Linked DNA regions of Saccharomyces cerevisiae S288C. Changing the gene in region 2 together with the main gene of any one other region gives a genetic interaction. Each region holds a gene or a part of one and is shown on either strand. Other genes may lie near its edges. The genes, in order: RIM20, VPS8, VAM3 and GUP1.

Region 1 (6,327 bases), on a different chromosome or scaffold from region 2:
TTGAATTACATGTGTATGTTTAATAAGCGGTACGAATATGGGTTCAAACGCCTTACTCCTACACTCCAATTCATATTTATCAATGGGGACAGTTTTATTCTTGAGCAGTAATACTCTGACTTTTTTACGACTAGACATCTCTCGAGCAAGGTCTATTTTACCTTTCTGTTTCCTTATCCTTTGACACTAAAATTCAAAAAACTCACTAGAAAGTTCACTAAAGCGCCTTAGCTGACTACAGCACAACCCAACCCCAAAAACTAGTGAACTACACACTAAGAGAATTTATGGTATTTCCATAATTGAAGTATATGTACGATGTATACAATGTAAACAAGAGAGTAATGAAGTGAAGATATGTACACCTAGAGCGAACCAATGATAATTTGTTTTCTTAATTAAGAAAAACCATTAAAACTGGATTAGATTTCAATAATGAAAAGCTAGGAACAAAAAAAATTGGTCTACTTCCAGCCATTTGCGCTTTATATAGACATATGGAGGCGTGATGTCTTAAGCATGGTAATCCGGAAGATCAGTTTATTGAATGATGGTTTTCTTATCCTGAAGGATCCTGCAAATGAAGTAAGTTCAAAGAATTGAAATGAAATCGCCTTTTATACCCTCGCCGCACCAAGGAGCGCGCTGTGAAAATTTTTCGCTTTATCTCTTAGGGCTCCTACTGTCGGTAGAGAAAAGTTGAGTATATTTAAAGCATGAGGTAACTTTTCTGCCCATTTTTACTTCTATTTCCATTTGAATTCAGAAAAGTGAAGCAAAATTACACCATGAGTTCCTATTAACGTCAGCCTCTTTTGTACTCATAATGTGGCTTCGGATGTTTGATGGGCGTTGCTTCAGTGCGTACGGCTCATGGTAGATTAATTATTAGAAAGATGTATCTCCAGCTGTTGATATTAGAGGGGGAAGCCTTTCTCTTTCACCTCGCCTTTTTAAACACCTGATACAGTTGGTCATGATTCGTTCTACATTTTAATTTCTTTATGTAACCACGTTGTATATTTTCAATCTGGAAAGTAACCTAAAAGAGTAAAAACTGTTTATTAAAAAAAATGTTATTCAAAATTTATACATAGTACACGTACAGCTGCCTGAAGAAAGCATGAGCGAATGACTTATGCTTCGTCGTCTTCGTCTTCACTTTCCAAAGCAGCAAATGCGTTGAAACCAAGAATTGGCTTGTCCGCAACAATATCTCTGGTATCAGCAGGTCTGTTGGAAGAAATATTTTTGTTATTTGGCTTGACTTTTAAAGTTTCTTGGGCAATGGTAGCAACTGGCACAGTAGAAGTTGGTGTGGTTTCTGTTTCTTCTTCATCATCTTCTCCACTACCCTTCTTCTTGGCTTCAAATGTGCACCAACCATCTGAATCGGTTGTAACCTTAGGCTTGTTGTGCTTAATCTTTGGTCTACCATGATGGTGGGAAGATCTTCTACGACCGAAATGACCAACATGATGACTGTTAAACTCTTCCTCTTTCAAGTGTTGCAATTGCTTAACTTTTTCAATGATGGCTCTAAATTCCACCGCATCGAAATTAACTTCCAAAGTTAAACTTGGCTTCAGTTGAAAAAGCTCATCGATAGTATACTTGATCATGTCGTGAAATTAAATAAAAGTTCTTAATCCTATATTCAGGTTACAGCTCAAATAATGTCTATCGCAATCGGTAGAATATGCTTTACGCCAAATACTTTTTCCAATTTTTCACTATTTTTCGTCCAGGAAAAGAGATATTCAAGCCTCGCTACTACCCGGCTTTATAATATAGCATAAGAAAAGGGACTATAAAGCCTTATTAAAACACTACTATACCCTTGCAGAGAGAGTATTATTATCTATGGAGATCCAGGCAGTGTGACATGAGTGAACTGCTTGCCATTCCACTTAAGCGAACTTTAGAAGTGGACTTTGCCACGGAGTTGTCAAAACTAATTGATACTACTTCCTTTCAAACGGCATCCTTTTTCCAATCAGACATACTCAAAGTTGTTGATGCAAGAAACAATGCGATTGCACCCGATATCTCAATCGACGGTCTTTCTGCACTGAAGGAATACTATGTAATATTGTTGCAATTAGAGAAAAAGTTTCCCAATAATCAAATAGAATTTACATGGTTTCAAACGCTATCACAAAAATCTCGTGGTACTAGTCAATACTCATTACAATGGGAAAAATTAACCATTATTTATAATATTGGTTGCATGTATTCACTGTTGGCTCTAAATAGCAACAATGATGCAGCCGAATCCCTCAAAACGTCATGTCTGTACTTCCAGAATGCCGCCGGATGCTTTAAACATGTTTTAGACCACCAAAAAAATCTTGAGACAATCCCAGTGGTAGATGACGCCACATTGAACGCTTTAACCTCCCTGATGCTAGCACAAGCGCAAGAATGCTTCTGGTTTAAAGCCGTGCAAGATAAACACAAGGACTCCTTAATCGCGAAGTTGTCACAACAGATCGTGGACTTCTACTGCGAGGCTATTAATGACGCCCAAAGGGGGAAACTTATTAGAAGTGATTGGATAAACCACTTAAAGGCTAAAAAGGCTTACTTTAGTGCGGTGACTTATTACAGAATAGCCTTATCTTTTAATGAGAAGAAGCAGTTCGGAAATGTTGTGAAAGCTCTGCAAATGGGATTGCAATTTATAAATGAATCAACACTATCTTCGCAAGCTAAGTTTAAAACTGTTGTCGAATCTTCTCTGAAAGAAGCCCAAAGAGACAATGAATTCATCTACTTACAAGAAGTTCCTTCGGAATTACCATCGATCAAACCAGCTCTCATGGTTAAACCATCTTCTTCAGCAACATTGTTGCCTTCTATTAAAAAGGATGAGACTTTATTCAAAGACCTAATCCCTATAGAAGTGATGGAATATTGCACAGCATACAATGAAAGGCAAGATGAATACGTTGAACAACGTGTTACCAATCCCCTTGCTTCCCTAAATAAACTATTGAAGGAGTCCTTGACTACTTTCCAAATACCACAAGGGCTTACAAAGGTGAGTGAAGCAGAACTGAGTCATTACCAGGCATCACTGAATAATCTTCTCATTAATAATAAAAATGTGCAGGTACAACTCGATAACATTGAGCAAATTTTAAATGAAGAAGCATTTACTGACAATCAGCTCCGACTAAAACACGGAACCTTAAATTGGACTTTACCCGAATCTTCAACTACTAACACAGCATATTATGAAAAACTAAAAAAGCTGAGAGGATACCTTGATGAAGGTAGTGCGATTGACAAACAAACAAATGAACTATTTCAAAGCATCGATAAAAATTTGATTGGATCAGAGATCAGGTTACCGGAATCTAATGATCCTCTAACGAATAAGATTAAGATGATCATACAGGAAAGAAATGATTATATTGATAGGACGAGGCGGAAATCTTCAGAATATAGAATACTTCCAAAGATCATTACATCGTATAAAAAAAATGGAACAGTCGACTTTGAACCCATTTTCATAGGCCATTTAAAATACTTTGACGAAGATTTAAGATACGTTAATAGTACAAAGGAAGAAAATATCAAACTTATTGAGGAAGTAAACCTAAGTAAGAAGAATAACCCCGGCAGAAGCGGGATTGAACCAAAGAAAATGGTAAGAATAGATCCCAGAGAGCTATATATTGAAGATCTGAGATATTCCTTCAAACTGCTTGATGAGGTGAAAGAAAATTTAAGTGCCGGCACAGCATTTTACGAAAATTTAATTACTTCTACCAGCAATCTGTACAATGAGGTACAGGAATATGATACAGCAAGAAGAGCAGAAAAAGCTAGGCTTGATAAGAGTTTGACATTTGAAGACCAATGATACCTGTCCTCATTCATCTATAAAGTATATTTTGAGCTTGTCATCCTCCCTTTCCATTATCAAAACCCAGCTTCACTTATGTAGATATATACACTCAGGATAAACTCCTTTTTCCTAATATTTTCATTCCACAGTCTCCTTCTTGTTTATTTTCCATTTTTCAAAATCAGCTTGACGAGTGTTTCTTTTCAAGTTGGATTTATGTCTTCTGCTACCCAAATGAATTTTCCAATATTTTTCGCCAATAGCTACAACGTTCTTACCATCTGCGTTACGACAGACGTTGCAAGTATAATGTGTCCAATCGTCCAATTTCTTCATCGTAGTTTCGCCTTTAGACAACAGCTCCTCTAGGGCTTTAGGTGCCCTTTCTTGCTTGATGGGTCGATTGCTAATAAAGTCATTGGAAATAGCTATCGCTCTTTGAGATGCATTCGTGTCCCATTGAGAAAGGTCAGTGGCATCCAGTAAGTATATATCGCCTTTGATGTCAGGTATCAGCATTTTCTTGATCCATTTTACCTGCCTTTTTGCGTATTGACGTGTTCTCGTTTTCATTCTTTCTATACAATCCTCCAATTTTACTGTGTTGTCATCAGTTTTCCCGGTTAGCCACGGTAAGAATTCTTTGAAGCCAATAACTTGCCAAACACCATTCTCGCATTGCTCCGGCGTAAATTTATTTTGACTGTAATATTCATATAATTGCTTGATTTCTTGCAAGGCGCCTCTTTCTAGCATGTCGTCTACACGATCGTCAAGCCTTTGGAAAAGTGGCTCCGGCTTACTGTATAGCCATAAAAATAGGGTATCAAACTTCAAAGTTATTTTTTGTTCGTTAAATGTCTCGCTTGGTTTTTTGCCCGTCTTATAGTAGATTTCCAACATTCGTTGTACCCTCCTGTAGTCATTAGGATGGTATTTGGTAGCTATATCAGGATCACACTTCACAAGTGTGTTATAAATCACATCAGGGTCAGTCGATTCCAAAATATCGAGCTGCTTCCTTGTGAGCTTACGTTCGGATGATTTCGTATCGACCCGCTTATTGAAAAGAGTCTGCAAATAATAATGAGTACCCCCAACAACGATGGGTATCTTACCCCTCCGGTGAATATCTTCAATAGCGTTCATGCATTCAGTTTCAAAACGATGGGAATAGTATTCTTCTGACCAATCTACGTGATTCATTACATGGTGAGGAATGCCCTCTCTTTCTTGAAGCGGATGTTTATTTGTTATAATAGGAATATCTTTATATACCTGCATAGAATCCGAATTGATAACTTCGCCATTAAATTTTTGTGCCAATTGTATGGACAACTGAGACTTTCCTACTCCTGTTGTACCAGCAATCACTATAACTTTTTTAGACATATTTAAGCAACCTTTAAGCGGTCCCTTTAGCATGAAGATTTTTGGTTCTATTTACAAAAGATATGTACGTATAGTAGCTTATCTAATAAACTATACAGCCCTCACTGAGCTTTTCTTCTTTTTTGCCATTTTAGAATTTTTTTCTGTTTTAATTTTCTTTCCGATGAGCGAAAGATGAACGTGTGCTTTCGCCTGATTCAGTAATCAAGATCTTAGATCGACGTTGCCATCGAGGAGCAGCAACATAAGGAACTTTTACCTGATTTTAGCTTATACGAGCAAAATTCGCTCTTTATCTTTCGAAGGCATGACCACAATAGCGCAAGTAGATATGTAAATAAATCTTCCTAAACCGGTCTCGGAATGCAAAGAGCTTCGTATTTCAAAATTACCCGAATCCTATACATGTCAGGAATCAGGTTATACTCCCTAGCTCTTTTCCTGTTTGTCCATCTTTTTCCTATCATAGATGGTTATGGAGGCGGCTGTTTCTGTAAGAACTACGGAGTCGCGGCCCGGAATGGGAGAAATGCGAAGAAGCAGGCCGCAAGTGGAAGAAATTATTGGGGTAAAAGATCAACTAATGAACTCTGGATATAAAAAGTACAGTTAGCGTTTCTTCCCAACTTTCTTATGCTGCTATCAGCAAATGCATTTGCATAGGCTACAAGCCACAAGCCACAAGCCAATAAGGCATATGAATAATAAGAGAAAAAGTGCCTAATTGCTGTTTATATCAACCGTATGGCGTGCTTTAGCTGCAATAAACTTGTTTTCGCCGATTACCACTAATGGCCGACTTCCACGGATCCCAAAAATAGTGCCACGTCGGTACGGTCGGGCATAGTGGTTATTATTTCCGGGTTGTGACCCGCTTCGGATAATTGATCTATCCCCGAGGTAATAGGCCCGTGCGGTTCCGTCTTCATGAAGCTGCAGGGGCTCCGCTTAAAAGCCCCTGACGGCTCACCTTAAATCCGTGTTACGACACTATGCCAAATGAAGGAAACACTGAAATGATTGCATACCCGCACTCGTGCTTACATGCTAATTGTCCTTGTCAGAGCAAACGGTACCGG
Region 2 (6,462 bases):
GAAGATACATCAATCCACCCCTTATATAACCTTGAAGTCCTCGAAACGATCAGCTAATCTAAATGGCCCCCCTTCTTTTTGGGTTCTTTCTCTCCCTTTTGCCGCCGATGGAACGTTCTGGAAAAAGAAGAATAATTTAATTACTTTCTCAACTAAAATCTGGAGAAAAAACGCAAATGACAGCTTCTAAACGTTCCGTGTGCTTTCTTTCTAGAATGTTCTGGAAAGTTTACAACAATCCACAAGAACGAAAATGCCGTTGACAATGATGAAACCATCATCCACACACCGCGCACACGTGCTTTATTTCTTTTTCTGAATTTTTTTTTTCCGCCATTTTCAACCAAGGAAATTTTTTTTCTTAGGGCTCAGAACCTGCAGGTGAAGAAGCGCTTTAGAAATCAAAGCACAACGTAACAATTTGTCGACAACCGAGCCTTTGAAGAAAAAATTTTTCACATTGTCGCCTCTAAATAAATAGTTTAAGGTTATCTACCCACTATATTTAGTTGGTTCTTTTTTTTTTCCTTCTACTCTTTATCTTTTTACCTCATGCTTTCTACCTTTCAGCACTGAAGAGTCCAACCGAATATATACACACATAATGGCATCCACCGATTTCTCCAAGATTGAAACTTTGAAACAATTAAACGCTTCTTTGGCTGACAAGTCATACATTGAAGGGTATGTTCCGATTTAGTTTACTTTATAGATCGTTGTTTTTCTTTCTTTTTTTTTTTTCCTATGGTTACATGTAAAGGGAAGTTAACTAATAATGATTACTTTTTTTCGCTTATGTGAATGATGAATTTAATTCTTTGGTCCGTGTTTATGATGGGAAGTAAGACCCCCGATATGAGTGACAAAAGAGATGTGGTTGACTATCACAGTATCTGACGATAGCACAGAGCAGAGTATCATTATTAGTTATCTGTTATTTTTTTTTCCTTTTTTGTTCAAAAAAAGAAAGACAGAGTCTAAAGATTGCATTACAAGAAAAAAGTTCTCATTACTAACAAGCAAAATGTTTTGTTTCTCCTTTTAAAATAGTACTGCTGTTTCTCAAGCTGACGTCACTGTCTTCAAGGCTTTCCAATCTGCTTACCCAGAATTCTCCAGATGGTTCAACCACATCGCTTCCAAGGCCGATGAATTCGACTCTTTCCCAGCTGCCTCTGCTGCCGCTGCCGAAGAAGAAGAAGATGACGATGTCGATTTATTCGGTTCCGACGATGAAGAAGCTGACGCTGAAGCTGAAAAGTTGAAGGCTGAAAGAATTGCCGCATACAACGCTAAGAAGGCTGCTAAGCCAGCTAAGCCAGCTGCTAAGTCCATTGTCACTCTAGATGTCAAGCCATGGGATGATGAAACCAATTTGGAAGAAATGGTTGCTAACGTCAAGGCCATCGAAATGGAAGGTTTGACCTGGGGTGCTCACCAATTTATCCCAATTGGTTTCGGTATCAAGAAGTTGCAAATTAACTGTGTTGTCGAAGATGACAAGGTTTCCTTGGATGACTTGCAACAAAGCATTGAAGAAGACGAAGACCACGTCCAATCTACCGATATTGCTGCTATGCAAAAATTATAAAAGGCTTTTTTATAAACTTTTTATAATTAACATTAAAGCAAAAACAACATTGTAAAGATTAACAAATAAATGAAAAAAACAACGAAATAACTTAGGTTTTAGGCTAAAAAAAACAGAAGGAATTTTGAACGATAAACTTTTCGACTGCACACGAAACATTATTACTAATTTGTGTAACCACTATATAAGGAATCGTGTTTATTAATTGAATTTATTCCGGGAATATTCAAGTTATGTATATCTCTTTTCATATTCTTAAATACACATACTCATAATATCTTGTCGAAAATACGCGGTGTAGGGAGTTATGGTGGATAACTTTTTCACGATTAGAAGAAAAGGAAAATTTCATTATTCGTAGCTTAACATGGCAAAAACGAGAAAGACATATAATCAAAACGTGAGTTTCCTGTGGAAAAAAAAAAAAGGGAACCTCTGGTTACGATGATATACCTGCGTGAAAAAGGACAGTTATTACCAATACATACAAAGGCTTAATAAGTGTAAAATATATATCTGCCGAGACCATTACTCATTACACCTAGAATGGAGCAAAATGGCCTTGACCACGACAGCAGATCTAGCATCGATACGACTATTAATGACACTCAAAAGACTTTCCTAGAATTTAGATCGTATACCCAATTAAGTGAAAAACTGGCATCTAGTTCTTCATATACGGCACCTCCCCTGAACGAAGATGGTCCTAAAGGGGTAGCTTCTGCAGTGTCACAAGGCTCCGAATCCGTAGTCTCATGGACAACTTTAACACACGTATATTCCATCCTGGGTGCTTATGGAGGGCCCACGTGCTTGTATCCGACAGCCACGTATTTTTTGATGGGCACTTCTAAAGGATGCGTACTCATTTTTAATTATAATGAACATTTGCAGACAATCCTAGTGCCGACCTTATCTGAGGACCCTTCTATTCACTCAATAAGAAGTCCAGTGAAATCAATTGTCATATGTTCCGATGGTACTCATGTAGCTGCCTCATACGAGACCGGAAATATATGCATTTGGAACTTGAACGTAGGGTATAGAGTGAAACCCACTTCTGAACCAACAAATGGTATGACCCCAACGCCTGCCTTACCGGCAGTCTTACACATCGATGACCATGTGAACAAGGAAATCACAGGGTTAGACTTTTTTGGTGCTCGGCATACAGCCCTGATTGTTAGTGATAGGACAGGTAAAGTATCACTCTATAACGGTTACAGAAGAGGCTTTTGGCAGTTGGTGTATAATTCAAAAAAAATTTTAGATGTGAACTCTTCCAAGGAGAAATTAATAAGGTCAAAGTTGTCTCCACTAATATCACGGGAGAAAATTTCCACTAATTTGTTGAGTGTACTCACAACTACACATTTTGCCCTTATTTTATTATCGCCACACGTTTCTTTGATGTTTCAAGAAACTGTTGAACCCTCAGTACAAAATTCTCTAGTCGTGAATAGCTCTATTTCATGGACTCAAAACTGTTCCAGGGTTGCTTATTCCGTAAATAATAAAATTTCTGTTATTTCCATATCTTCATCAGACTTCAATGTTCAGTCCGCTAGCCATTCTCCTGAATTTGCAGAATCTATATTATCCATTCAATGGATTGACCAGCTCCTACTTGGTGTTTTAACCATATCGCACCAATTTTTGGTATTGCACCCCCAACATGACTTCAAGATCCTGTTAAGATTGGATTTTCTGATTCACGATTTGATGATCCCACCTAATAAATATTTTGTAATAAGTAGAAGAAGTTTCTACCTGTTAACAAACTACTCATTTAAAATTGGCAAATTTGTGTCTTGGTCAGATATTACTTTAAGACATATTTTGAAAGGCGACTACTTGGGTGCATTGGAGTTCATAGAATCACTTTTGCAACCTTACTGTCCACTGGCAAACTTGTTGAAGCTAGATAATAATACGGAAGAGAGGACTAAGCAACTTATGGAACCATTTTACAATCTGTCCTTGGCTGCCCTAAGGTTTCTTATAAAAAAAGATAATGCCGACTACAATAGGGTTTACCAATTATTAATGGTAGTTGTTCGTGTTTTGCAGCAATCTTCCAAAAAACTAGACTCAATTCCTTCTCTAGACGTCTTTTTGGAACAGGGTCTGGAGTTCTTTGAATTGAAGGACAACGCGGTATATTTTGAAGTTGTAGCAAATATTGTTGCCCAAGGATCAGTTACGTCAATTTCCCCAGTTCTTTTCAGGTCCATAATTGATTACTATGCTAAGGAGGAGAATTTAAAAGTAATTGAAGACTTAATCATCATGTTAAATCCTACTACGCTTGATGTTGATCTTGCCGTCAAACTATGCCAAAAGTATAATTTGTTCGATTTATTAATATATATTTGGAACAAGATCTTTGATGATTATCAAACCCCAGTGGTGGACTTGATATACAGGATTTCTAACCAAAGTGAAAAATGTGTGATCTTCAATGGTCCTCAAGTACCTCCTGAAACGACTATATTTGATTACGTAACGTATATCCTTACTGGCAGGCAATATCCACAAAACTTGTCTATATCACCAAGTGATAAATGCTCCAAAATACAAAGGGAACTTTCAGCATTTATTTTTAGTGGCTTCTCCATAAAATGGCCGTCGAACAGCAATCATAAACTTTACATATGCGAAAATCCAGAAGAAGAGCCAGCATTTCCTTACTTTCACCTTTTATTGAAATCGAATCCGAGTAGGTTCTTAGCAATGCTCAATGAAGTGTTTGAAGCGTCCTTGTTTAACGATGACAATGACATGGTTGCATCAGTTGGAGAAGCAGAATTGGTAAGTAGGCAATATGTTATTGATCTACTATTGGATGCTATGAAAGATACGGGAAATTCAGACAACATCAGGGTACTTGTTGCAATTTTCATTGCAACTAGTATATCAAAATATCCTCAATTTATTAAAGTGTCTAACCAAGCCCTCGACTGCGTTGTTAATACCATATGCTCCTCTAGGGTTCAAGGTATATATGAAATTTCTCAAATAGCTCTGGAGTCGCTTTTACCCTATTATCATTCAAGAACAACAGAAAATTTTATACTGGAACTAAAAGAAAAAAATTTCAATAAAGTTCTTTTCCATATCTATAAAAGTGAAAATAAGTACGCCAGTGCGCTTTCACTTATTTTAGAAACTAAGGACATCGAAAAAGAATATAACACGGACATTGTATCCATAACCGACTACATACTCAAAAAATGCCCACCTGGAAGTTTAGAATGTGGCAAAGTTACTGAAGTTATCGAGACGAACTTTGATCTTCTTCTCTCAAGGATCGGTATCGAAAAATGCGTCACAATTTTTTCTGACTTTGACTATAATCTTCATCAAGAAATCCTGGAAGTAAAGAATGAGGAGACTCAGCAAAAGTATTTGGATAAGCTTTTTTCTACGCCAAATATCAACAATAAGGTCGATAAGCGTTTAAGAAATTTACACATCGAATTGAACTGTAAATACAAGAGCAAAAGGGAAATGATTCTTTGGCTTAATGGTACAGTTCTCAGCAACGCTGAGAGCTTACAAATTCTGGACTTATTGAATCAAGACTCTAATTTTGAAGCTGCAGCTATAATTCACGAACGCTTGGAAAGTTTTAACCTAGCAGTCAGGGATTTATTAAGTTTTATTGAACAATGTCTAAATGAAGGGAAAACAAATATATCTACTTTATTGGAATCTTTGAGGAGGGCCTTTGATGATTGTAATTCTGCTGGTACCGAGAAAAAATCGTGTTGGATATTATTGATTACATTCCTGATCACTCTATATGGGAAATATCCTTCACACGATGAAAGGAAAGATTTATGTAATAAACTACTTCAAGAAGCATTTTTGGGATTGGTTAGGTCCAAGAGTTCCTCTCAGAAGGATTCAGGTGGGGAATTCTGGGAAATAATGTCTTCTGTTCTTGAGCACCAAGACGTTATTTTAATGAAAGTTCAGGATTTAAAGCAACTGCTACTGAATGTTTTTAATACTTATAAATTGGAAAGATCTCTTTCTGAGTTGATTCAAAAGATTATAGAGGATTCTTCGCAAGATCTTGTTCAACAGTATAGAAAATTTCTGAGTGAAGGGTGGTCTATACACACCGACGACTGCGAAATCTGCGGGAAAAAAATATGGGGAGCTGGTCTGGACCCATTACTTTTTCTAGCTTGGGAAAATGTACAGCGCCACCAAGATATGATTAGTGTAGATCTCAAAACTCCCCTTGTCATATTCAAATGTCACCATGGCTTTCACCAGACTTGCCTCGAAAACTTGGCCCAGAAACCCGATGAATATTCTTGTTTAATTTGCCAGACGGAATCTAACCCAAAAATAGTATAACATTTCTAAATATTTAATACAACTTTGGTTACATAAAAGTAAAATTTATACACCTCATTTCATTATGTAGATTCATATATAGAATACCAATTATGATTGACCCAATAGCCATCAAAATCAGTAGTTATTAATACTTGTCTTTCTAGGAGCCATTTGCATATTTCTGATATTTCATGAAGCGAAAGTACTTCACGACACCTAGATTGCAATCTACTCAATGTTATCCCTGGATGAAATATTATTTCGTTAACGACCATAGTAACTACCTGCTTCCATATGTTTGGCCTAATGGAACCAGATCCATTCACCCATAAACGAGAAAATGGTTTGCCCAGTGGAACTTTGACAGCAGACTTCCTTGCTGTATTCAATTTTGTCTGAGAATTGGCATATATAATCAGAGGGGGAGTTAATGTTCGTATTTCAAATCTCCTTGAAGTATACGTTAAAGGTCGAACATTTCTCACCATTGGAATTACATCCATATTCAATAGCTCTCC
Region 3 (5,140 bases), on a different chromosome or scaffold from region 2:
GCTTTTTTTTGCTACGAACGTGGCCCTTTTTATGCTTATTTTTCGTTGTAGGAAAATGCCTCTTCTCTTATAACCAAATGGGGAAAAATATAAATGATGCATCTCGAAAAAGCTTCAAGATCTACTGGAACCGCAACTTCTACTCTAGAACTGGATAAAAGCCTAGAAGAACTTCAAAATTAAAGGGGCGCAAGAAAGTTTCAAATATATTACATATTTGCTACTTAGATCAAGAATAACCACCCCCGGTCGTGACTTTTTAGATTTTTTTTATCTTGTTTATTTTTAGCAAAATAACCGTTTCAAGAAAATACTAGAAATATAATCAAAGACTCCCAAGCGTATACACAGTAATGAACGTTTGCAAGTTGAAAGAAATAGTACCACTATTTCCGAGATCGTCCTTTACAGATGGTGTAGTAAGTACAGGAAAAAGTTTCCGAAGCTGGGACACCTGCATGGACAATAAAGCATGTAAAATTATTGCGATTGTTGGTATTGTTTTGGCCTGTATTCTTGTGATTTGGTTGATTGGGGGCTTACTGACATGTTTCAGGCAAGGGGTAACAGGAATAGGTCAGTTCATTTGTTGGTGTTGTCGTTGTTCTAATGACAGAAATGGAAACAATACAATGCCGGTAAATGAGGGTTTTAGTAGAGTTAATATGGGCGTGGCTCCTCCTTCTACTGTGATTTATCAGCCTATTCAACAACCTGAAAGTGCGTATTATAGAAACGATGCGAAGAATGATACATTTTACGACGAAGTCAAAACTCCCAGTAATGAGGTGTATGAATTAGAGGAAGATTTCGATTTGGAAAAACAAAAAGAGAAAACAAGGAAAAAACAACAGAAGGAAAGAAATAAAGAAGGACGCAGCCCTAGTAGGGTGGCCCCTCTAGTGTATGAAGAAGAAAATTTCGAAGGTAGCAGCCCTCAGCCGCAATATGATGCTAGAAATTCGTTTATCCAAAATGCGGCCAATACTGGTAGCAACAACGCTCATGTTGCTTCACAATCTCCAATTTTTGACATCAGCGATTATGGCGAGAACTATTATTACGATAATAATAACATCAATAATAACCTCCAGGGAAACAGTTACAATACTCCCTCCTCTAATCATAGAAGTCCATATCCAACCGAAAATTATCAATCATATCAGGGATATAAACCAAACCAAAGCGATAGATATTACTAATGAGGTAAATATATATTCCCCCTTCTTTTGAATAATCAGTCAGACATTTTAAGATCAAGAGGATTCATTGGTAGATTTTGCAAGAACCAATTAGGAATTTCTTCAGGAATAACTGTGAGCTTGCGTTTACGGAAAGGAAAGTAAAAAAAAATCTTCCAACGAGTTTTTCCTTGTACCGGTTGCTAAAAAGGTGCCTTCTAACAGGTAACACCAGAAACCGCAACTTTTAAAATGCAAATAAGGGCAGTCAATGGTGAACTTCCTCTTGGTCAGTTAGTATGTACAATAAATTAGGTTGTTTTCCTCAGGATAAAAGTGATCTATTTGTAACATATAGTTTACCTAGGTGCTGACGAGGACACAGGAAGAGCAAAACTAAGATCATACAAGTCAATACTTATTATAATCAAATGATAATATTCGTTCAGCCTCATATTCGAGTTTCACATCACAACTTTTTTTTTCGCGAGATGCGCAGTAAAAACTCTATATACATTTTTGTAGTGAATTTTGATTTTGATGTAAAGAAAGCAGCCAGGAGATTAAAGGAAGGAAAATAGAACAATAAAAAACCACGGGATCAGCATTAACAAATTGGCCAACTAATATCCACTGCAGAAAGTTGAGATTATGTCCTTTTTCGACATCGAAGCACAATCTTCAAAGGGTAACTCCCAGCAAGAACCACAATTCTCAACAAATCAAAAAACGAAGGAATTAAGCAATTTAATTGAGACATTCGCTGAACAATCCCGCGTGCTGGAAAAGGAATGCACCAAAATTGGTTCCAAACGGGACTCCAAAGAACTAAGATACAAAATTGAAACAGAGTTAATACCGAACTGCACCAGTGTAAGGGATAAAATTGAGAGCAACATCCTCATTCACCAAAATGGAAAGTTGTCTGCTGATTTCAAGAACCTGAAAACGAAGTATCAATCCCTACAACAATCATACAATCAAAGGAAGAGTCTGTTCCCTCTAAAAACGCCTATTTCACCAGGAACATCTAAGGAAAGAAAAGACATCCATCCGCGAACTGAAGCCGTGCGACAAGATCCAGAGTCTAGTTATATTTCTATAAAAGTAAACGAGCAGAGTCCTTTACTGCATAACGAAGGACAACACCAATTACAGCTGCAAGAAGAACAAGAACAACAACAGCAAGGATTGTCCCAAGAAGAACTAGATTTTCAAACAATCATTCACCAGGAAAGATCCCAACAGATAGGACGCATTCATACGGCGGTACAAGAAGTCAATGCTATTTTCCATCAGCTCGGTTCATTAGTGAAAGAACAGGGAGAACAAGTAACCACCATAGACGAGAATATCTCGCATTTACATGATAACATGCAGAATGCAAACAAACAATTAACCAGAGCAGACCAGCATCAGAGGGACCGTAACAAATGCGGTAAGGTCACCCTAATCATTATAATAGTTGTGTGCATGGTGGTATTGCTTGCTGTATTAAGTTAGTAATCTCCTTAAACGCGCATTGAGCACAGACTTTCTGGTAGACCCAATCTTATCTATTTACGAAAACAAGAGTGTATAAGAGTGTATAAGTTATTTTTTGCATTTATTCTTTTGTGGTAGGGGGGTTTCTTAGCCGCTCTTTTTGACTCAAAATTTCCTTTGATGTCTAGTGATAGTGCACTTCCCATGTGCGCAACCTGTGTTTTTTGTACTCCGTAGTTTAAATGCAAGGGCTCGATATGCCCTTTTTCCTTTTTCTACTTTGTACGATCTACACTGACCTTTTTTCAGTAGTCCGTAAATCCCCACGAATTTCTACTAGCGACTGCCAATAAAAAAAGGATTGTGCTACTGTATGTAAAAAGTAAGAACCCTGTTATTTTCCGTTAACTGTCATTTGCCTTACTGTTGCTTAACGGCCGCCAACCGTTATCAAGAAACAAAACATTGTATGCGTTGTCTTCTAAATGAACCTTGTGGGCCCTGATAAACATAAGAACGTGTCTGGCTCGGAAGTATTTATCTTATTTCAATTTTCGCTTTTGCAGAACATCCTTGCCTGTCACTAAGATAAGGACAGAGCGTGGATTAATAAAAATGGCAGAATTTCTCGGCAAAAAAAGAAATCATGCATAATTACCTCGATGTGTACGTTATTGCGGGCACGATCCTGTCGCTACGGCCTGATAGTAGCGGCTATTCTGCTGGCGAAAATTTTCAGCAGTTTGAAATCTTACTGTGGCGTCCCGGTCCAGCCGAGATGACATCTAACTAAGAAATGTCCGCTGCGGCACACCCACGCCGTTGCAGCTAAAGTCGCGCACCAAGCACAGACCTGCTGGAGAATGAGGAACAAGGTTGCGTTAAATGCTTCGGGAAGAACTGCCGAACCGAACCGCTAGAAAAGTGCGCAGGTACCCCGATCGAAGCGGCTCGGCGCTCATTTTAGCACAATCAGAAAAAGGAAATTGAAAGAAGAAAAAAAAAACATAATCATTAACAATTCTTTTCTTGAGATATACGTATATATGACGTCGTCATGTAGTATCTCTTTCGGGATACCCTTTGTAAACGTCCCTTTGTGGAGATGAAAAAAAAACTTGCTGAATAAAGATAGTTAAGGCGCTAGTAATCAAATTAATAACATATTATACCACATCACATCTATACCATTTCCGTTGCACATTGCTTGAACCAGTTGCCAAAATTGACTAAACGGATTTTTACAAAGTCAACGGTGATCACTAAAAGCAAACAACTCAAGCGACGAGGCAAGGAAAGAGAAGAAAAAAAAAATATTACATTGGCTATATAAATATCAAAACATCTTAGGTAAGGCACCTTTGATACATAAAACGAAGAAAATTCAGCACATGCCAGATGGCGAGTGTACCAAGTCTATGCGACATACTGATACCGCTAGAAAAGAATAGTCGCAGCGACGGCGATGCTGAAAGTAGCAATACAGTGCTGATTCAACTGCGAAAAGGGCATCACGAACGGATGCGTTCTCCTTACACAATACAAAAGTTTTACAAATTTCTAAAAAGAGCTCATTGTGAGGAAAATTTAGAATTTTTCGAAAAAGCTCATCAGTTCCTCCAGCTTAAGCAAAACAGGAGTATTAGCGAGGAGAAGCTCTTGGAAGTTTGGAACAAGTCGTTGTACATAAAATACATTGCCGTGGACTCCCCCAAAGAATGCAACTTTTCACAGGATACTAGGGAGATATTTGAGAAGTGCTTTGCTAACAATGAAGTACCTGCCGACGTAGACGTCCTGTGTGCCATTAGCCATGTGATGGGCCTATTAATGGACGGGTATCACCGATTTGTGAGTTCTGTTAATGAGAAAAAGTACTCCGCCACATATGCCCACAATGACTCTGCTACGGAACAAGATCTCAAAAACGAGTCTACAACTTCTTTTTCGTCATTAGGCGTGGAGGATATTTCTGAAGATAGAAATTCGTATCTTAAGAAGCCTGATATCAATGGTTTGTCAACTATCATTCAAGAAACGTCTGCAAACACGACCAATGAGTCGCAATGCAGCGATCGCACTTCTCGGCCAAGCGAGTCCTCTTCCTCACTCAACACTACCAGCTCGACCTACAAGAATACCAGCACTAGAAATCTGCAAAAACCGCAAAATACAGGAATTCTCAACTCGGGGAAAGGTTTATTGCAAAAACTTAACTTTGTTAAAAAACGGAAATCTTTCAAACAGCCTTCAGGCGTCATTTGTAGCCATTATAACAGCAATGTTCAAAACCGTTTGAAAGGACAAAACAGTCATCAACAAAGATAGCCTCTTCATCATCTGTGGAGACACAAATATCTTCATCCTCATCGCCATTACCCAATAAAGCGATCGGTAAAAATGAAAAAAGCGTTGAAAACGGCTTTAAAAAGCTAAATTTGCATGATATCAGTTAATCAAGATTAGAACTTTGA
Region 4 (5,913 bases), on a different chromosome or scaffold from region 2:
GATAATAATAATGATACAAGTAATAACAACAATATTAATAATAACAACAGAACCAAAAATAACATAAGAAATAACCCTGAAGAGATTATCCGGGACTGGAAACTTACCAAAAAGGAATGTTTAATTTTGACAGATATGAATGATAAGTTAAGATTGGACAATAACAATTTAAAGCTACTGAATGATGAAATGGCTTTAGAGAGAAACCAAATACTAGATTTGAACAAGAATTATGAAAACAACATAGTAAATTTGAAAAGATTAAATCACGAGTTAGAACAACAGAAGAGTTTATCTTTCGAAGAATGTCGATTACTGCGCGAACAATTAGATGGCCTATATTCCGCACAAAATAATGCTTTACTAGAGGTCGAAAATAGTGAAACACATGCGTCAAACAAGAACGTAAACGAAGATATGAATAATTTGATCGATACTTATAAAAATAAGACAGAAGATTTAACAAACGAACTAAAGAAGCTAAACGATCAGTTATTATCAAATTCCAATGATGTAGAAACACAAAGAAAAAAGAGGAAGTTGACAAGTGACCAAATTGGTTTAAATTATTCACAGAGGCTCAACGAATTGCAACTGGAAAATGTAAGTGTCTCGAGGGAGTTGAGTAAAGCACAAACTACAATTCAGCTACTACAAGAAAAATTAGAAAAGTTAACTAAACTAAAGGAGAAAAAAATACGTATACTGCAATTACGTGACGGCCCCTTCATAAAAGATCAATTTATCAAGAAAAACAAATTACTTCTTCTAGAAAAGGAAAATGCAGATTTACTTAACGAATTGAAAAAGAATAATCCAGCAGTGGAAACAGTACCCATTTCTGTTTATGATTCACTAAATTTCGAGTTGAAACAGTTCGAACAGGAAGTTTTTAAGTCAAATAAAAGATTTTCCAGACTAAAGCAAGTTTTCAATAATAAATCTTTGGAGTTTATTGACGTTGTAAACTCATTATTAGGTTTTAAATTGGAATTTCAACAAGATAGTCGTGTGAAAATATTTTCCTGTTTCAAACCTGAAAAATATTTGATTGCTGATCTAAATGAAAACACTTTGAAATCTAACCTTGATGCAGATATAGAAGGATGGGATGATCTCATGAATCTATGGGTGGAAGATAGAGGTCAACTTCCGTGCTTTTTGGCAACAATAACATTGCGTCTGTGGGAACAGCGACAAGCCAAATAAGTGTATATACATTTCTAATAGATAATAGTAATCGGTTTTATAATATGATAAACTCCTATCCGCTGACATAATTGTTGGTCACAAAATTCTTTTATCTTTCTTCATCATTGACCTTTTATGATTCCTTTGGTATGCAAAAAAAAAAAAATTGTGTTGAAGAATAAAAACAAATTACAGAATAAGTCACACATGATATAAAAAGAAGCCCAGTTTTTCATAGCTATTAAGGGGGCATAAATGCACTTATATGAGGGAAGGTGATTCTAATTCAAAAAAATCTGCGGATGTTGCTGTCCTCTCCATCATCCTTACGGGTTCGACCTTAACATTGATCTACACATATAAAAGGTATTTAACTCAATTCAAAAGAACAAATGATATACCGCGAAGAATATTTCGTAAACACTGGCTTTATGGTAAAGTCACGTCTGTAGGTGACGGGGACAACTTTCATTTCTTTCACATGCCAGGTGGTATAAGAGGTGGATGGGGATGGTTACGACCCGTCCCACAAATGATCAAGAATGATTCTACGGCAGAAAAGCTTGTTGGAGATAGCAGAAATATGAGGTTTTTCAATTTCAATTGGATTACGCATGGGAGGTCCACCAAAAGTAAAATACAAAAAGCTAAAAGCCAGTTCTTGAAGCTAAATGTACCTTACAAAAATAGGAAAAACCTGCCAACTATTCCTATAAGATTATGTGGAATCGATGCCCCAGAAAGAGCACATTTCGGTAACCCAGCTCAACCGTTTGGTAATGAAGCTTTAATTTGGTTACAAAACCGAATTTTGGGAAAGAAAGTATGGGTCAAGCCTTTATCTATAGATCAGTACAACCGTTGTGTAGCTCGAGTGTCATACTGGGACTGGTTTGGTGGGTGGAAAGACTTAAGCTTAGAAATGCTCAAGGATGGATTAGCGGTTGTTTATGAGGGTAAAGTAAACACAGAATTTGATGATAGAGAAGATAAGTATCGATATTATGAATTTTTGGCAAGATCTAGAAAAAAGGGACTGTGGATCCAGAATAAATTTGAAACGCCTGGTGAATATAAAAAACGTATTTGAGTTTTCGAGAGGATTTTTATCCATCATACTGCAGATTTTCATATTATATGTTCATTAGCTTTTCACGCTTCCTCTCGATATTTTTTTATTTATTTTCGGTTTCATTTTTGTACTAGTAGATAAAAATACATACATGATAGCAGTGTTATACAATTGATATTCGTAAATTTGGCATTCAGCATTTTAGGTAAATTCCGTGCCTCTTTTCTTCTTCTCTGATTTCAAACATTATTTGTACTGCGATGAATAAACTAACGCTTGCCAAAATTACAAATTTGAAACCAGATACGGTACAGAACATATCGCTTAGTAATTTTTTAGTACCGTCAGAGCCCAAGCAGAATCCAAAAAGATTAGCGATCATCATAACCCATATGTTGAAAACAGCACCGACAGCGCAAACGTGTCTGTACCAGACTGCGTCGGTATAATGAGAGAAAATTTGGGTAGCAAAAATTTCTGGTAAGAGGAACAAAACTATTAGCCAACCCCATAATAATAACTTTAGTTCGATGTCATGCCATATAGCTACGAAGGAAAAGACTGCTAGTGATGTCAAAACTCTATTTTTTGAACCACCTAGAGGAATATATATGTAACGGACAACCCACTTATTGTAGCTTCTATGCCAAGCTCTCCAGAATGCTAGTGAACTGTAATTGTTATCAACACACCTGATCATATTTTCAGGTGTATCGATTCCGTCTAGCAAAGCCCACAGCCTAAACAGCCTCCACGGAATCAGTAGTTTTAGCCAAATAATATTCAAATTAAATAAGCCAATCATGGAAATCTGGAAAGGTGTGTCATTTTCCCACGCTTTGGTTTTTGAGATTGCCACAACGTGGAGAAAGTGTAAAATGAACTCCATAGATAAGAGAGCAATAACGAATCTCACCGCATAGTAAAAAATGAATTTGAAATTTATTGATGGCAAGGTATGTTTCGATTGGTAAACATAATCATTGAATGTTATAATGGGGCCGGCAATGAAAAGTGGCGTGTAAGTAACATATGCAATATAATTCATTAAGCTGTAGTCCTGTATGGGGTGTGCAGCAGTTAATCTAGCACGTTCATTGAGCAAAATGGCTGATTTAGCTTCTTTTGATTCATAGGATGGACTTTTCTTCTTTTGTAAATTCTCCCACCTCTCTAAGAAGTCCAAGTTGTAACTTAAGACTCTCAAAAGAGTAAAATTGAAAAAGACATCCCATCTTGGAATGATACCTCTATACCAATGGTCCAATGGGCTTAAAAAAGAGCAAATATTACCAAATGGATATGCTCTGAAGTTGTCGTTAATAAAAAGCGTAGAAATACCATAAATCCAAATGCTGATGGTGGCTATTCTTCTAAAGTTCTTTAGTACATGGGCGATGGCATATAAAATTAGCATATGGGCTAAAATTCTTATCGAATTGACACCATGAGCGGCCACTAAAAAGATCAAACCAAATATCAGATCAAACCTCAATTTAGTGATATTTGTTGAATAAAGTACAATGCGTTTTATAGAAGTGTGGACTAGCATTAAAACTGACAATAGCGCAAAATTGTCCCTGAAAAACCTATATTGAGAATCACTATTGTCTACTTTTCTGCCAAATAACCAACCTTGAGATAGGAGACGTTCGTATCTTGCATAGTTTGGATTTTCGGGCGAACTAGCTTGTAACCCAGCATAGAACATCAAGGGAACCACGACCAGAAATGCAATGTAGTAGAATTTGAACTCAGTAGTTTTCCATAGTGATGGCTTAGTGGTAGTAGAGGCATCCTTTTTTGGTGAAGGTTTGATTCTTGAATCTAAGCCCTCGGAAGTAATTAGGGGAGACAGGATGCTGATCAGCGACATTTCTTGCAATTGTCTGTTAACAAATGCTGATTCACGCTTTGTTTTTGCCTTTGTATGATTAACATCTATATATCGAAAGCAATATGCTAAGTTATTATTCTTACCCTTTCAGTGTCCTTTTTGGCACACCCACTAAACATAAAGAGAAATACGTGAACACCTATACACCCTATATTATTTTGATTGTTCAACATTGCTTGATTCATCATCCATTCTCCAGCTCTCGAATCTTGTTTCTGGCTTTTCCAAGATTATGTGAAAATTAACTTACTCTTTTTGGTCGATAAATAATTACAAGTTCAAGTGCATGTCTAATTGGAAACTTATTTTTATGTCCGATTGAGCTGATGTTCAGCTAGTTTATGTTTATACAAGAAAAATGCTCACCCGTACATATGCTCCTTCTTCACTCATTTTCTTGTCCTGTTGTTGAGACATTCAACTTTGATCCTGCTCTTGTACTTTTATGATTCATTACTTATATATTGGTCTTCATTATTCTCGAGATGAAATTCTCAGGGTCTTTTAAAAAAAAAGTTTCAGTAGGAAAACTAAACGTAATTAAACTATTCTTCGGTTCGAACCTGAAGTTGCGTGAAAAAAAGGGTACTGCAGTCTTGAAAAAATAGAAGCCAAAAAGAAGTTAATATCAAAACAAATAAATCTTGCACATATTAAAGCGCACAAAAGTATTCAAAACAGTGTAACTTCGAATATCGTATCATTAAGGAAAATAGGACACACTTTGATTGAGCAGGGATGATGTTTTGGTCCTCAAAGACGGGTATCACGTCAAAATATTCATTTTCATCATCACCTACTTTCACAGCTGAACCATGGAGCATTTACACCGGTCGTCCCAAATCTTCATCTTCATCTTCACCTTCCAAAGTATCGATATTCATGTTTGACAAGAAGCAGTTCGAAAACTATTTGTTACACTATGGTATTATTAAATCCAAATCTGGATCCAGAGATAAAGTATTAATACAAGAAGCGTACGAAATATTAAGAAACCAGGCCAATAACTTGGCCAAGCTCAAGCACCCAAATATTCTGACTTTAATTGAACCATTAGAAGAACATAGCAAGAATTTCATGTTCGTCACCGAGTTTGTCACTAGCTCATTGGAGACCGTTTTCAGAGAAACCGATGATGAAGAGCAGAATTTCTTACAAGGTCATGTTAAAGATAATATCGTGGTACAGCGAGGTATATTGCAACTGGTAAATGCACTCGATTTTGTTCATAACCGCGCAAGCTTTGTACACTTGAACATTCAACCTAGGGCAATATTTATCAATGAAAATTCTGATTGGAAAATTTCCGGCTTAGGCTATTTAGTAAAAATACCACCAGGCACAAATACCTCTGAATACTTCTTACCTCAATATGATCCCAGAGTTCCCCCATTTATGCATTTACAATTGAATTATACGGCCCCAGAAATTGTTTTTGAGAATACCCTAACCTTTAAGAACGATTATTTTTCTTTAGGATTGTTGATATATTTTCTGTACACTGGTAAAGACTTGTTTCGCAGCGAAAATTCGACTAGTGAATATAAATTGGAGTACAACAAGTTTGAAAGCAAAATTAGTACAATGTCATGGGATAATATATTCAGTAAGGTTCCACAAAAGTTGAGGCATTGTATACCCAAGCTAATAAACAGAGACATCTATTCCAGATATGATAACATAACGTTGATTTTAGATTCTGAGTTTTTCCAAGATCCGTTAGTCAAAACCTTGAATTTTTTAGACGATTTAC

What was found.
Region 1: mutations in VPS8 (region 2) and RIM20 together harm fitness more than expected from each alone (negative genetic interaction), as found in Saccharomyces cerevisiae (3 studies listed by BioGRID, with this or other methods).
Region 3: mutations in VPS8 (region 2) and VAM3 together harm fitness less than expected from each alone (positive genetic interaction), as found in Saccharomyces cerevisiae (4 studies listed by BioGRID).
Region 4: mutations in VPS8 (region 2) and GUP1 together harm fitness more than expected from each alone (negative genetic interaction), as found in Saccharomyces cerevisiae (3 studies listed by BioGRID).

Annotation. Positions count from the first base shown.
Region 1 is NC_001147.6:836,628-842,954, reverse strand, and holds RIM20 (Rim20p), read left to right. Parts: upstream 1-1,885; coding exon 1,886-3,871; downstream 3,872-6,327. Other genes in the region: uroporphyrinogen-III synthase HEM4, read right to left, coding at 1-138; CAF20 (Caf20p), read right to left, coding at 1,137-1,622; MOD5 (tRNA dimethylallyltransferase), read right to left, coding at 3,995-5,281. UniProt on the Saccharomyces cerevisiae protein: Required for the proteolytic cleavage of the transcriptional repressor RIM101 in response to alkaline ambient pH, which is necessary for sporulation and invasive growth.
Region 2 is NC_001133.9:141,570-148,031, forward strand, and holds VPS8 (CORVET complex membrane-binding subunit VPS8), read left to right. Parts: upstream 1-2,137; coding exon 2,138-5,962; downstream 5,963-6,462. Other genes in the region: EFB1 (translation elongation factor 1 subunit beta), read left to right, coding at 605-684, 1,051-1,591; transcription factor TFIIIC subunit TFC3, read right to left, coding at 6,025-6,462. UniProt on the Saccharomyces cerevisiae protein: Required for localization and recycling of the CPY sorting receptor (VPS10) to the late-Golgi compartment. Involved in the retention of proteins to the late-Golgi. Plays an integral role in the complex vacuolar protein sorting process.
Region 3 is NC_001147.6:517,289-522,428, forward strand, and holds VAM3 (SNAP receptor VAM3), read left to right. Parts: upstream 1-1,832; coding exon 1,833-2,684; downstream 2,685-5,140. Other genes in the region: PIN2 (Pin2p), read left to right, coding at 354-1,202; YOR105W (uncharacterized protein), read left to right, coding at 907-1,233; GTPase-activating protein RGS2, read left to right, coding at 4,065-4,994. UniProt on the Saccharomyces cerevisiae protein: Required for vacuolar assembly. Provides the t-SNARE function in a late step of the vacuolar assembly. Required for homotypic vacuole membrane fusion, autophagy and fusion of biosynthetic transport vesicles with the vacuole.
Region 4 is NC_001139.9:348,160-354,072, forward strand, and holds GUP1 (O-acyltransferase), read right to left. Parts: upstream 4,140-5,913; coding exon 2,457-4,139; downstream 1-2,456. Other genes in the region: coiled-coil domain-containing protein MAD1, read left to right, coding at 1-1,209; LCL3 (Lcl3p), read left to right, coding at 1,457-2,281; SCY1 (Scy1p), read left to right, coding at 4,899-5,913. UniProt on the Saccharomyces cerevisiae protein: Membrane-bound O-acyltransferase involved in the remodeling of glycosylphosphatidylinositol (GPI) anchors. Acts only on GPI-anchored proteins, but not on free GPI lipids.